2 linked regions of the Diceros bicornis minor genome follow. Each later gene encodes a partner of the first gene's protein in a complex. Links are inferred from orthologs where the notes say so. Each region holds a gene or a part of one and is shown on either strand. Other genes may lie near its edges.

What was found.
Region 2: the proteins of FZD4 (region 1) and NDP are in contact, whole or in part, in a crystal structure (PDB 5BQE), measured with the Homo sapiens proteins. The link is inferred for Diceros bicornis minor from reciprocal best matches to the Homo sapiens genes FZD4 and NDP. Residues at the interface, in NP_036325.2 of Homo sapiens: Ser51, Met52, Gln54, Asn55, Leu56, Gly57, Gln95, Phe96, Met105, Thr107, Lys109, Ile114, Asn152, His154, Met157, Cys158, Met159, Glu160, Gly161, Pro162; in NP_000257.1 of Homo sapiens: Asp33, Ser34, Pro36, Arg38, Met40, Arg41, His42, His43, Tyr44, Val45, Asp46, Lys58, Met59, Val60, Leu61, Lys102, Lys104, Leu106, Tyr122, Leu124, Ser125.

Annotation. Positions count from the first base shown.
Region 1 is NC_080746.1:45,769,945-45,778,016, reverse strand, and holds the start of FZD4 (frizzled-4), read right to left. Parts: upstream 3,037-8,072; 5' UTR 2,872-3,036; coding exon 2,587-2,871; intron 496-2,586; coding exon 1-495. UniProt on the Homo sapiens protein: Receptor for Wnt proteins.
Region 2 is NC_080781.1:38,280,676-38,287,925, forward strand, and holds the start of NDP (norrin), read right to left. Parts: upstream 3,097-7,250; 5' UTR 3,068-3,096; intron 1-3,067. UniProt on the Homo sapiens protein: Activates the canonical Wnt signaling pathway through FZD4 and LRP5 coreceptor.

The DNA of each region.
Region 1 (8,072 bases):
CATACTGAGAAATATGATGGGGCGCTCAGGGTAGGAAAACCTGGAAGAATCGATGAGGAAAGTCAGCACCGTGAAGGCGGTGGAGATGAAGCACAGGCTGGCCCACACTGCCATCCAGATATCGGTGAACTCCTTGGCCGAGCGGCTGTACAAGCCAGCATCGTAGCCACACTTGAGAACGCAGTTCAGGCTCCTTTTCACCCAGATGTACTGATCGGAATTGGCTCCCACGGAATGGCACTCTTCCCCAGGCTGGATGGGGGTTTTGTGGGGTAACGGCACCTCCTCGTCACCCGGCCCTTCCATGCACATGTGGTTGTGGTCATTCTGTGGCGGGAATTTGCTGCAGTTCAGGCTCTCCGGCCAGGCAAATCCAAATTCCTTCAGGACAGGTTCACAGCGTCTCTTGACTGAAAGACACATGCCGCCGCACGGGCCGATGGGGATGTTGATCTTCTCTGTGCACATTGGCACATAAACCGAACAAAGGAAGAACTGGAAAAGTCATGAAATGAACAAAGAAAACAATGACTTGGAAGTCTGACCAAACACTTGCACAAAGCTGAGCTGAACGCTTCCAGGCAAAGTACGTATCTACTTTTAAACCAGCCTATAGAGAGTCTGACTGTTTACTGTGACCTCCAACAAGGGTGCCTAATAATCCATCACTTACACACTTTTCTTCTTTTGGTTCTAGTAATCCTTTCCAGGAGAACATAAATAAATACATGCATAAAAAGGACCTGAAGAATTACATAATACCTTTCTGCACAACACTTAAGGAAATAAACCTAAAAAACGCACTTTGAGTCACCCTCCCCTTTCAGCTACTATTTGGAAGAACTGAACAGACTAATTAAGTGACTCAGTCATTTCGGTGATGAGGTGATTTCTTTTTATCCCCATTTCTTTATCACCATAAGAAAAAAAATGTAGATCTACCTTTTCTCCTGTTAATATTCTCTACTTTATCTCCTAAAATTATTTTTTAATCAGTCCCATAACGAAACAGAAAACGTCCTAATTGAGACACTGTTAGACCCAAGGATGGGAGGCAGGTTGAGGTCTCCAGTCACCAAGGGCTTGTTTGGCCAGGTTTTCTCAATGAAGCACAACAGGAAAATATAAATGTTAAGTCCCTGAAACTGCACTACCAGCAGGGGAGAGTCCAGTTGCTGTCCTCAATTCCTCCAGCATTGATAAACAGTCTGCTTGGCTCCTTACAGATGTTGTCTATGAAGTCTAGAGTTACAAGTAACTATTTTCCAGTATGTAAAGGGATCCAGTCCTGTCCTTCAAAACAGCTTGGCTGCTTCCCCAGGATACATGTAATTAAAAATATATATCCCTGCAAAGGCTGTTTCTCCAACGAAATTGCAACTGATGTCAGGATATGTGCTGTTTCCAAACTGAGGGCTAGAGGATCATTTCTTAAGCTTTTATAACCTAGTTCTAAAGTTCTGAAACTTCCAAAGGGAGAGTTCACCAGCAACAGGTCTAATCCCAACCATCTTTCTGAAACCACAATCCAACTTTTAAAATGACGTGTGTAAAAACATGCACCTAGTAAGTAAGCTGCCTGCCTGTTTCTTATCTTTCAGAAGTTAACAGCCAGAACCACGGATTTCTGAAGCTTTTAGCCTGGACAACTATCTTCTATTTTTTTCCCAACCTCTCTTTTCTAAATTTCTAAAAATCACTCTTACCTTCACTAACCAAAACACAACCAGTGTTAAACTTTTCAAATTTCCTTTCAGTTCTTTTTTTTTTTTTAATGAATTGGTTGTTGTTTTTGTAAGATTATAATCACCCTGTATATGTAAATTGTTTCTTCACTTATTATTGTAGGATGAACATTTTCTATGTCATTACATAATCTTTAAAATTTTTAATGACTGCAAAAAAAAACTTCCCAATACACAAACTACCTTCCTGAAGCTTGTCCATAAACATTACCTTTTTCCCAAGCTGAGTTGTCTCCCCCTCCAAGTAACAAAACCTGCCCTCAACCCTGAGGATAAGAACGAACTCAAGCCAATTCAACCATTGCTTCCTGCATGACCTCTAAAATCATGCAGGATGACGCCAGGAGGGGCCATTCGGCAGACAACCGGGCAGTGGTGTTTCATTTAATAACCCACCCAAAAATATGGGAGAGAAGGGAGGACGGTGAGGGAGGAGGAGTTCTCGTCTCCTTATCTCTCCTTCCAAGTCTTAGCTGCAGCTGGCTGCCCTGCCGGGAACTCGCCCACCGAGCGGCGGCGGCCAGAATCCTTGGCAAAGATAACCCTCAGGTCCACTGGGGTTAGGGGCTTGGCCAGACACGGGTGGGCAGGGGAGAAAACGGAAGGGCGGGTGTACGAGTGGGTTCTTTCGCAGGCCAGACGACTTACACAACGTTTTGGCTTCCAGTCCCTGAGAAAGGACTGAAAAGTGGGGGTGGGGATGGAAATCACTTTTCCAGGATAGTTTTACCCTTTAGTCTAGGAAGGGGGCAAAGGGCTCGACTTGGCAAGGCCTCCACGGAGTTAGTCTGGGGCGTCCCTGCCCAGGGGGTCCCGCCAGGGGTGGGGGTGGGGTGCCCACCTGCAGCTGGCTGGAGCAGCCGTACTGGATGAGAGGCGTGAACGTTGTCAGCTGCAGCTCGGCGTCCGTCTGCAGCTCGTGCCCCACCAGGTTGGGCATCTTGGTCACGTTGTAGCCCAGGTTCTGGCACATGGAGATGCGGATGGGGTCGCACCGCCGCTCCTCCTCGTCCCCGAAGCCCCGCGCCGGCCCCAGGAGTAGCAGCAACAGCAGCAGCAGCCGCAGACTGAGACCGACGCCCCCGGGCGCCCCCGGGACGCTCGACCCCGCGCCCCGCCAGGCCATGGCCAGAGCCGGGGGCAGCAGCGGCGGCGGCGGGGGCTGCTCCAGCAGACACCCCCAGTTTGCACGGGGGCGTCGGCTGCCCGCGCTGCTCCCAGCTCCGAGAAGGGGAGTGTGATAAGGCACCAAGGGCGACGAGGGGGCAGCGGCCGGCTCTCCGGCAGCTGCGCGCGTCTGTGTGGGATATTAGACGCCCCGGGCCGGGGCCGACGGACAGACTACGAGGGTCATGGCTGCAAGCGGCGAGCCCCAACCCAGCGCCAGCTGCGTCCGCTCGGCGTCTCGGCGGAACCCGCCAGCACCCAGCGCCGCACCGCTCTCACCGCCCGAGCCCTCCGCGGCGCTGGAGGTTCGCTGGGCGGCGGCGGGGCGGGACGGACAGCGCGCCCCTCCAATGGCCGGGCACCGTGGGCAGCGAGGGGCGGGGCCGCTCCGCCGCTGGAAGGGTCAGGCCGCCACCCGCCGGCCCCCCTCCTCCGTTCCCCCCCCCCTCCCCGGAGCGCCCCGCCCCGCTTCCCGGCTCTCACTTTCCTCCCACCGGGTTCGCGGCGCTCAGGGGCCGCGCTGGGATAGAGCCCAGTCGCTCCGGCCAAGGTAGCTTGCGCCCTCCTCTTTCAGGTGAGAAGTGCTCCCAGATCAGTCGGCTTGCTTCCCTTTCCGTTTTCCAGCTGTCACCTCGGCCCGTGGCCACCTCCGTATCCCTATCCTACACAAAGAACACTGGATTTGGATTGACAAAGATTGTGGCTTTAAATCCCGGCTGTGTGACTTTGAGCAATTTGCTCAACCTCTCGGCGTCAGTTTCCTCACCCGTAAAGTGACTTGGGAGGATTAGAGATAATGCACAAAACGCTGAGCACGGTGCCTGGTACCGCGCGAGCTCGCAGCTATTTTCACTCCTAACTTGCTAGGGTTGGAGCCCGGCCCCCTCTTCCCGCCCCCAGACTCGGCCCGACCTGCGCCCGGGAGCTGCAGGTCTCCAGCCGCGAGTGGGGGAGGCGCCCCGGAGCAGCCGAGCAGCCGACGGTCTCGCGCTCCGATTTCCTCACCGTATGAAATGAAATTCCACAGGGGGATTCGAGAGGAAATGAGACCGGGACGCTCCGTGCTTCTCGGCCCGCCGCCCTTCCTGTCTCGGGGACACGGTTTCTAAATAAGGTTGGGAGGGTGAGAGGGCGGGAGGGGAGACGCTTGACCTGTGCACCGGGGGCGAAGAAGGCGCATAACCGCCGGGGCTCCCCTCCCCCAGCCCCCAGGCAACCCTCCCCTGCAGCCTGCATCTTTTTCTAACTTATTCTGCTTCTGCTTAGGGTTTTGGGGATCTGGGGATCTTGCGACCCGTGTTTTGTTCCAACTCGCGCCTCGCTCATTCCCAGCCCTCTCCCCCACCCCCACCCCTCGGACGGAGCTTTGTGCCAGTGTGCCCTCTCCGCTTTCCAGTTGGGCCAGTGAAACCCTCGACAGGTGGATTCCTAAGCTATTTACTTGTTGCTTGACTGTGGTCAAGCTACTGTGCCTCTCTGAGCCTCAAATTGGCCATCTGTAAAATAAGGAAGTGTATGACTGCCCAACACAGTTGGCCTAAGAGTTAAGTGAGATAATGCCAGTAAATCATTTAGCAGAGTGTCTGACACACAGTAAGTGCTCAATAACTTAGATATTGTTGTTGTTCTGGGACAACCTCCTGCTTTCCTGCTTTCCAATCTCCTGCAGCCCAGGTCTGAGGATCTGGGTAAAGAGCTTTCTACTCTCTTCTGAGATCTTTTTGTCCAACACTTGCCACTGTTTTCCTGGGGCTTGGAGACAGGGACCAAGTTATTATGCATGTTTGTATCCTCCCGTGTCAGCCAAGTCTGGCATAAGGCAAAGGCTGGATACAAGTTAGAAGGATGTCTGCACCACTCATGTAGTGCTTATATGTGTCTTGTATTTTTAGTTTTCTTATATTGGCAGCTGGACTTGGCTGAGGGCAAGAATGGAATCAACTTTTTTTGGTAATTTTGCTCTGTGCCTAGAACTGTGTTGGGCACATAGAAGCTGCGTTGTCTCCAGCCATCATCATAACCTCCCAGGAAAAGAAGCTCACCCTTAAAGAGATGAAGAAACTGAGGTTTGAGCCATAGTGATACTTAGAAAATGAAAGACCAACCAAACCAGGGCCCAAAGGAGGCCTTTCAAAGATGGGGGCAGGGTTATTTCACCAGAAAAGTTCCCAGCTGGAAATCTACATACTCAGCAGTAGGGGTGAATCTTCTGTATGCCTGTGCTGAGTAATGCATGAGACTATTGGCCTACAAAGATAAATAAATGATTAGATGACTGAATCAAGTGAATAGATGATCCTCACCCTCTAGGAACTCACAGGAGGAGACAAAGAAGAAACAGACAACTGGAACTGAATGTGATAAGTGCACAGAGAATTGTGGATAAATTGAAGGTAGAGGTAGCTGGGTTTGGAGGGCGGCTCCAAGGGGATGACCTGTAGGATTCTGAGCTACTCAACAAAGCAGAATTAATGTGCAGTGGGCTCTTCTCCCAGGGCACTTGCGAGGAGGGGAGGGGGGCTTGCTTTGTGCTAAACATATGTGTACACGGTTTATTAAACAGTGAACTCCATGAGGTCAAGGAGCAAGAGCTTTCCCTTGCACAGGGCCTGGCACACAGAGGGAAAACCATTAGTGTTGGGTGAAGGAATACTATTATTAAATCAATAACAAATAACTCATATAGAACCCTTCCTCTGTGCCAGCTACTGTCTTACCTGCTTTACATGCATTATCTCATCTATCACATGCAAGAGCTTGAGAAAACTAATGTTCTAAGAGGTTAAGCAATTTCCCCAGGATCACACAGTAAGTGACAGAGAAGGGCTCAGATGCATGTCTGCCTGGCCCAAAAGTCTCTGCGTGGTATTGCTCTCACAGAGGAAACTGCTTGACACTCAGCCTAATCCTTAGTTAAAGACGACCCTTTTGTGATCTGGACCTCTTGTTCCCAGCCCTGGCATCCCTGCCTCAGCTTCCTTGAAGCCCCTGTCTCCTTTGAGAACACTTGAAGAAGCCCCTTCCCCGTCAGAAGCTTTTCCTGTCAACAGCTTTTCTTTTCCGGCATGGAACTCATTGCAGGTATTTTCCAAAAAAGAAAGCCAGAGGAATCACATTTCAGTCTGAATGTGGAAAGAAAACAAAGACCACAACTCAGAGCTAAGTCTGAATGGCCTGGAGCCCCTCAGCCTCCCTGTCTCAGAGTGGTTTACACAGTCACCAGTCTGCTCCCAGTGACAGGCATGGCATGTTTGTCTTTGTTGCAGAAAACACGTCCCTGAGGCAATTCCAGGCAGAGGTCTGTCCACCCTGTAACATGCAGAGCGTTTAGGAGAGGAGTAGAAGAAGGGACACGTGAATAGGACATTCCGTTAACCTAAAAGGCAGGCCAGGGACCCCTAGTGGCTCTGGCAGGACTGCCTGGGCACATTCCTCTGGCCACTGTCTGAAAGTAAGGATAACAGCCACTTTGGAGCTGCAACAAACATGACTCCAGCAGGCTGTTGGGCAGTTGGAGGGCTCTCCATTTGCATCTAATGAGAGGCTGGGTTCTAATTAACTCCTGTGATGTGTTAATTTTTCAACCTGACATTTTCTGCTCTAATAGATTCTTATAATGGTTCCTAAATTAAAGGCTGCATTTGAAGACTAGTGTTTAGGTTAAAATCCACCACCTAGAGGGGTGGGGGGCCGTAAACATCTTTTCCCTCCTGAGGAAAACCTCTCATTTGCAGTTCTTTGCTAACCCAATTAAGTGCTGAAGTAGTCACCCCAGAGCCTGCTTTTTATTTCCTGCGAAACAATCCAACTAATCCATATTCAGTAGCTTCCAAGAAAAGTCTTATTCCAACCACTCATGAAGAAACCAGCTTCTTTGAATCTGGACAGAACATTTAGAACTCACAAAGAGTTGTCTTGATGGAAACTGCAAGAAAGTGGTTCATTATCCTGTTTGGTTTTTGAGGGGAAAATTCACTGGGACTTAAACCTCATAAAGATTGAGAATTGACTGTGAAACAACAGAAGCATAGGGAGAGGCCATGCTGTATCCCATCAGTTTATAGATAGTCTGGGTGCTCCACCTTCCCCTGCACCCGAACTAGTTACAAAACAAAAACGTGTGCTGGGTAAAGCGGAAGGGAATGCTAGTCTTGCTCAAAGTTGAGGAATCAGAGTCCGCAAGAGGTTAATTAATAGCTCATAAGTGGCAGAGCCAAACTCCCTTCTTACCCATTGCGCCACTAGCCAGCAGAGAAGAATCAAGTCACCACAGACCTCTTGCGGGTCAAGGAATCAAAGCCCTGTTGTTCCTCCTACCAAGCATAAGATGGTACATATGACATTCTTATTTGTTGGTGGTGATTGTTTAATGCACAAATGGGCAACCAAGAACCTTTGCAGGGGGCCAAAAATAATGCCAATACGCTTTGTACCTCCACGACCTCATTTCATTTCAGTATTTGTCAGTCAAGCCATTAACAAATGTTTAGTGATGGGTTATTGTGGACTTGCCATTCCCATACAAGGAGGTATGCACACATATAAAAGGTGGTCCCCGCCTTCCAGGAGCTTGCAGTCACATTGGAGGAGATTAAGACATGAGACGAAGCACGAAAGAGCTTGTTTAGAGTTAAGTGCTTTATCTTGAGCTCCCTTACTGTAAAATAAGTTTGTTTTTTTGTTTTTGTTTTTGGTGTTTTTGGTCTCCTTCACAATCTCTGAGGTCAGAGGTGTGTCTTCTTCACCACTGTGTTCCTGAACAGCAAAGAAAAACACTACCTGACCCATAGAAGATATTCACTAGATACTTGTTGAATAAATAAAGGAATGGTTCAGGCTATAAGTGCTCTAATTCTTCAGAAAAAGAGAGCATTATGTGCTGGGTAGAGGCAACCACCAAAATACAACCTAACTGGCCCCAGAATGATGGTCAAGTCTATTCTCTAAGCCACTTCTATAAAACAGCTTTCAGCTGTCTTCTGAACTTGGATGTGTTGCCAATAATTATCTTCCTTTTCTGTCTTACTATGCTGATTCTTAAATCTTTTAAGGTAGAAAAATGTCTTAGCCAAAATTGTTGTTTGATTCAGAAGCCTATTTCTCTATATCATGAATCTGCCCAGATATTTTCTTATCACTGTTCATTGGCTGGTCTCACCA
Region 2 (7,250 bases), on another chromosome or scaffold:
TCACAGCCAGGGCAGGCCACAGCAATCTGGGCCCTGGAGCTCACCCACCCTCAGATGGCCCAGCTTCCCTCCTCTGCTTTAGCACTTCTCAGTCCTTCCACCTGCCTCCCCATCCCTTCTGCTCTCACTGGCGCAGCCAGGGGGCCTGGACAAAGTAGCAGTAACTCACTGTCATGGGAAGAGGTGAGGATGGACTTGAAGGCCGCTGGCCAAGAATCTGAGGGCTGGCTCGGGTGAGTCAGGCACCCCAGGGAGTCAGAGGCATTTTAATCCAACCATGGGGGATTATCTGCTGATAAGGACCAAATCAAGGACCCTGATGATGCTATCTTCAGGGGTTTTTCCCAGTAACCTACCCACATCAGAAAACAGAAGCCTGGATTATTTGAAAGCAACGTTGTGTGTGACTCTGACGGAGACCTGAGTTTGGGGAACAACTTCCAGCAACTTCTTCCCAGGGGCTCCTTGAGTTTAGGCCAGGCCCAGAGGTCATTGGTTTTGATCCTGGGGGTGGGACAAGTAAGTGGTGGGAGACAGTGACTGCATCTTCCTTTGTGCATGTTCCTAATTCAATGATTCATCAAGTGTCCCTGATGTCAGCTGCTGAGGAGGTGACTCACTGCTATCCCTGATAAAGACAGCACGTGGTCCTTTCCACAGGGTGCTCAAGGGAGCAGAGAAAGGATAAACTGTCCTTTTTCCCGGCTTCTTCTACCCAGGCGGGAAAGATCCCGGTTTTGTTAGCTGTGCAAGTGATATGTACCCAGGATCCAGTGATAAAGGCCTAAGAGGAACCCCTTAATCATAAGTGGAGAGAAAACCCATTGATAAGTGATGATCATTTCAAGTAAATCTGGGTACCAGCAGATATTTTAAATGATTCCTTACAACACAGAAGTCATTGCCCAGCTTCCCCGTTGGCAAAGTCCATTTCAATTCCCAAAATTAACTGGAGATAGTATACAGACGAGAATTACAGTGTGGGACAGTGTTTCATTCACCTTTACACCCATCAGGACTAGTGTAATTTATTAAAAAAATGAGGGAATGAATAATTAACTAATAAGAATAATAGTACTTGAATTGGGAGTTCTTAAAATACAGTAAAAATTGCCGGCCACCATTGGTAGCTATAATTCCAAGAAACTCACCACGTTTTTCAAGGGCCCAGGAAAATGAATGAGTTGGAAATTGTTAAATGTACTGAAAAATGATTTATTTTCCCCTTGACAGTGTCACTGGAACTGGAATTAAGATTGAAAACTCCACAGGCGTGTTTCCCTCTGTGGGTGTCAGCTGCCGGGTACACAGGCGTCAGGAAAGCCTCGGCCAGTTCTCCCTTCACCTGAACCAAATGTATTTTAAAGCAAATGATGCAAAACACTGCATTTTGATTTAGCTAAATGGCTTGTTAACAGCAGTAGTTTTAAACAAAAATCACTGTAAAATTGTATAGCAATAGAATCCATAGTACTATTACAGGCTTTCTCGAACAGTGAATATCCCAACGTTGTAAATTAACTCATTCAAAAGCCAGATTTTCATTTAACAATGCTTATTAGGCTAGTTATTAGAGAAAATCAGAAAAGTTCCCCATAAACCCTGTCCCCATTCGACAATGAAAATTGGTCAATAGGACTCTAAAGTTTACTTTCAGAACCCAGACTAGTGAGAAGAAAGTGGGCGGATATTTGCATTTGGTCTAAAGGCACAATTGAGAAGCATTCTGCAGTCCCCACTGTATTTGGTTGACACCCTCAGCCAGCACTGCATTTTAGGCATCTCTATGTTTTCAAATGCATCTGGTATTTAATGTTATGTATTGGAGCAATTTGCCAATGCCAGTTCCTTGTAATTAAAATACACTAATATTAGAAATGAAAAGAGACATGTTTCGCAGCATCCATATCTGTTACTAATGACAGTTACAAAGAATAGAACGTGGGACTCCCTTCTTGCCAAATAGCTTCCTTTCCCACACCTGAATCTCAGCAAAGAAGGGAGGCTACCTCTTTCATGCAGGTTTATCTGGGCTCCTCGATTACAATGAGCCTCAGTCACAGTGCGTTCTGAGTCATTAACATTCTGTACACAGTCAAACTTCCCGTCCCCCAAGAAGGAGTTATGCCCAGGCCTCCTACAGCCTAATTGTTCATTTAAAGAGAGAACTTGTATTCAGGAGCTTGAAAGAACCCTCCGAATATTCCTCAGGTGTTTGTAGGAGTCATTCCTACAGGTCCTGGTCCCTGGGCTGGTGGGAGCATCCTTTCCCGGTCACTGCTTGGACAGTGTAGCATCGGTGGTGCTGCAGGGACAAGCTGACTACTAAAAATAACCCTTTGCAATAAGGCCAAGGCAAACAGCATGCATTTCCTCGGACTTTTTGCCCAATCAAAATCATATAGTAAACCCATCCTCCTCTCTCTCCCCACTGCTCCTGACTGCATCTATGGAAGCGAAGTCCTTGCACGTTGGGAGAAGAGTGCAAAGGAACAGGATTCCTGCAAAGCGTGACACAGAAATCTAGAAATAAATGTTGCCTATTGTTTGAAGTCATTCTAAGCACTCCGGCAGAGTCCTGGCAGGAGATCAGCAGCATACATAAGTAGTAATAAAAGTAAACAGTGCGCTTTTAAACTCGCAGGCTCTGCCGCGTTAATAGTGCCCCCATTGTAAGAGGGATGAGGGCGGTGGGGAAGATACTGGGGCTCCAGGAATCCATGTCGGCAAGTTGCTGCTTCTCAGTCTCCTTTCCCAGGATCAAATATAAGAACGATAACAAAGTTACATCTAACTACGCAGAGAGTTTGAAAATAAAATCTCTTTAAGTCAAACCAAAAGAGATTTTCTAGCCTCTCTGTGAGGCTCCCCTGCTCTGACACAGATTTTAAAGACCCGTTCATTTAAAAAACACAATGCTAGCATGCTACAGATTAATGCAAATTAAATTAATGCAAATTTAAGTGGTATTTAAAGGTAGTCTCTTTGTCTGAGAAGAGGATGAAATGCTCGGTTTGGAAAGAAGTAATTTCCTAGGCAAGCCGTCAGCGCTGGTTTTCCTGCTTACCTTGGGGGAAACGCAGGGCTCCTTTCTTCTCAGACTTTTCTGAGAGCTAGAAAGAGGTCCTGTTACTTCCAAATGCTTTTGTTCTTCTGTCCCTCTGTCACATGGCTTGCCTTTTATATTTGCAACACACAAAAGTTAGGACTGTTGTTTAAGCGACACAGGGAGAGAGAGAGAGGGAGAGAGAGAGGGAGAGAGAGAGAGAGAGAATGTCAAATGGAAAAGTGCCATTGCAGTCATATATCAATCAGGCGTGCGGCCGCAGCAGCGCACTAGCAAATGGGAATGCCACGGAAATGTGAGGCGCTCGTTAGTTATCGGGGACTCACAGCCACTGCCCTCCGCTGGGCTCCCTTCCACGGAGCATCTTACGATGGGAACAACGTACAAGAACAAGGGCAAGGAAATCCGGCCCCCCGCCACTGTTTTTGTATTATGGAAATAACAAGGGGCTAAATGAATATTCTGGATTTAATTCTTTGACAAGCATGTGGCTGCCATAAAGATGTGCAGTCTGCAATAAAGACACATAGTTTCAGAAATACAAAGACTGTGACATTCTGTTTAAGGATTCAGCAGCTGACTGGGATGAAGTTGAAATTCTAAGTAAGAGAGGAGAAAGATCGGAATCAGAGCTACTTGTCAGGCGAGGCTGTTGAAGCAAGTGCAAAACCCTGCCCTATTTTATCACGATGTGTATGGGTGGTGAGAGGTCTTCTTTTCTGAGTTGTTCATCCATTAAATGATTTTTAGCAGCATATCCATGATTAAATCTACAACGGCACTTTAATAAGCACCTTCGCCCGCATCATTTAGAATAAAACTTTAGATTTGATTTAGAAACACCGAGACAGTAGTCCTTGCCTCCTGGAGACATGTGAGTGTGAGAGTAACAGGTAAGGCCAACCCACTGCACTACAACTAGTAGAAAAATGGCAAAGGTAACTATGTGTGTGGTCTAAATGCTTGCTAGCTGGATAATACTGTTAGGAGCTGTGGGAATACAAAGGGAAATATTTCATAATCCTTGCCCTTAAAAGCTTAAAATTAAGACAGAAAACCATCAGCAACTTGGGGGGAAAACACAAAGAACCACTGAACCATTTATAAATTTTTTTATGTCAGCCCCAGCTCCAACATAAGTTTTTTAATTAACACTGATAAAGAATTAAACTGAGAATATGAAAAAATGATGTTTCACGGAAGAGTAACTATATCATAAAACTTAAGAAGAAATTTCTCTCGGGAGCCCAATATAATTGTTGATGCTGAAACTATGTTCAGCTGTATCACATCATTTATTATTTATTAATAAATTGATAATCGCATTATTACTTTTCCACGGAATCTTTAGTCCAAACAGTCATTGATGTTTACAGGAGGCGTCTTAAAATGTTTAGTTTTACCTCCACCCTTTAATAAGAAGCCTCTTTTCTTTTGCTCTACCGGGAAAATCCTGTCTACCTGGGACCAGCCAGTCACAAACAGAATCCACTTACGAGGATAAAGGATAAGTGACAAGTTCAAAGCCTTGAAAGAAAACCTGGCACTTGGCCGATGATGTTGGCTAAATGTCTTAAAAGCAGAAGATCAAAAAGCAAATGGAAATTGGGCCTGAAAAATGGAAATAATCTGAAAGGGGAAATGACTTGTAGCTGAGTAAGAGCCATGGAAATAGTCATGAACACATTTTCTGGCTCAATTTTGTGGATCAGATTGGGAAGGAGAATAAACTCTTTGGCCACCAACGTTTTCACGTATCAGAGCTTGACGTCCATCCACCTTTTCATTTCTCCCGATAAATAATTTGTGGCTCTCTCAACATATGTTCACCACTCCACCCTGCTATCTTTTGCCTTTGGGTTCTCAGAGTCACTCTATCTGCTCCAAAGAAACATGAAAAGGTGTGGTTCTTCCTGGTTGGAATTTTCCAGCCTTCTACAATCTCCCCTTCTGCAAGAGCACCACAGAAAGTGTAAAGATTGCAAACACATTGACTGCTTGGCCACAGAAGACAGGATCTCTCCCAGATGGAGCCCCACTGCTTCCTCCTGCCGTTATTCTGTCAGGGGTGGCGAAGAATACCATCTGTTGCCCCTTTCAAGAGGGAGGCTTTGCCTCCGCCCGTTGGGCTCCAGAGGACTTGTTTCTGAGCCTACCAATAGGTATCTGGCAACAGTAACTCTTTTCATCACATCACCATGCTTTTTAGAAAGGTTACTGTGCCACACGTGGTTACTGGCCATCATTAACATTGCTGAGAAAGAAGGGCTCCCTTTAAATTTCTATCTATGCAAAAAGGGATGAAAATACTCCTGCTGTTATCTCATATGCACTCAGGGTGGAAAAAGTTTGGAGAAGGAGATGTCTGTCAGCTGGATGGGAAATCCTTCAAGGGACCACTCCTGAACCTTTTATTTCTGGTACTGTTTTCAGATTGCCTCTCTCTTGGTAGCTCTAGTGGATATTTACAGGACTCGCCCGGCATCTAAACACCCCTGGAGGGCTGGGTAATTCCAAGGCAGGTTCTGTCTCCTCCCTGCGGAACCTGAAAGGAGCAGCTGTTTCCTCTCCCCTCCTCAGGGCTGCTGGAGACCCAGGTGTGATCAAGCCAGGTTCACCAGATATGCCATCCAGGAGGAGTGGCCAAGGCATGCGGAAAGTCAGAGGTTATTCCCTCTGGGCGCATTGGCATCGAGAGCCTGGAGGTTACAGTGGCCAATGTCGGGGGTAACAGAGCCCAGCCATGTGACAGTGGGTGTCCTGGGGGCACAGGATCCAAGAAGGCATCCTTAGCAGTCTGATCTTTTTGGCTGCATCCATGTTCACCATCATTTAATAAGCCTGGCTCTCCCGTTTTCCTGGTGATTCTGTGAACTGCCCCCCATCACCACACCCACTAAGATCTCTCCAATAAATTCCTTTCTGCTTTAATTACCTAGAGACAGTTTTTGAGGTTGGCAACCAGGAGTCCTGACCTGAACACTACATTTTCCAAATTTAGGCAAACTAACAACATTAACATACGAATGTAAATGTAACCTCTACTTCCTCCTAGCTACCTTCCAAAACAAACAGATGTTTTTAGATTCAATGTCAGTCTGCTATAGTCTCTGCTATAACATTTCAAAAGTAGAAAATTCCTATGTGGGTATATAAAAAGATCCATAGTTCTTATATATAAGTACTTATCAAGATGCCCACTGAAAACAGTACTATTTGACATCATATGTACATGGATACAAACATCGTGTGTGTGTGTAGGGGTGTGTGTGTGTGTGTGTGTAAAATCCCAACATACCAGCATAGTCTGCTAGGCATGTTTTATAATTATCTATGAGAATACTAATCTTTATCATCCTCATGAATATGATAGTCTTCATCCAAAAATACCTATTCATAATAATATCAACTATTTAATGGGTGTTTACTCTCTGCTGGACTCTATGCCAAATATTCTATATGTATTGTCTCTTTTAGAGAGATACACAGCAATCCTATAAGGTAAATACTATTATTCTCTATTTTATAAATGGAGAAATTGAGGCTCTGCAAAGTTCAGTGACTTCCTTGTGGTTGACACAGCAAGCAAATGGCAGAATATGAGCTCTGGTTTTCCTGACTCCAAAGGGCCATGGTTTAGCCACTGTGCCGTGCTGCCCCCATTCAACAGAAACTCACTGAGCAACTCTCTTATAGTAATGATCTGCTATTTGTCAGGGGTACAAATAAAGGTAGAACATGGATCCAGATCTTAAGGTGTTTATGATACAGTAGGGAAAAAAGAAATGTTCTCTTAATGGAGACACTGCAAGGTAAAATGTGATCAGAGCCACAAGAAAAGCAAAAGATATGATAAGATCAGAGGTGATGTGTCCAGGAGAATTCCACTGGGTCTGAGCTTTGAAGGCAAGAGTGGGAACCAGAGGACAAGGGTGAGTTTTTGGAGCAACACATAATCAGACATTTGGCTGGGCCTAAACCTAAACTACGTGATCCAGGAGGATAGGTGAGCAGAGGATGAGCCAGGCTAGGAGCTGCAGCCAGACAAGATTGAAGGAGAGAATAGGGTGGTAAGGCAGTCTGAGGCAAAGGAGAGGTTATGTAAGTGGAAGAAGACAACTGAGGCCGAGGAACGAAGAGAAGTAGCATGGCAGGGATGCAAATAGGTACTTTCATTTATTCA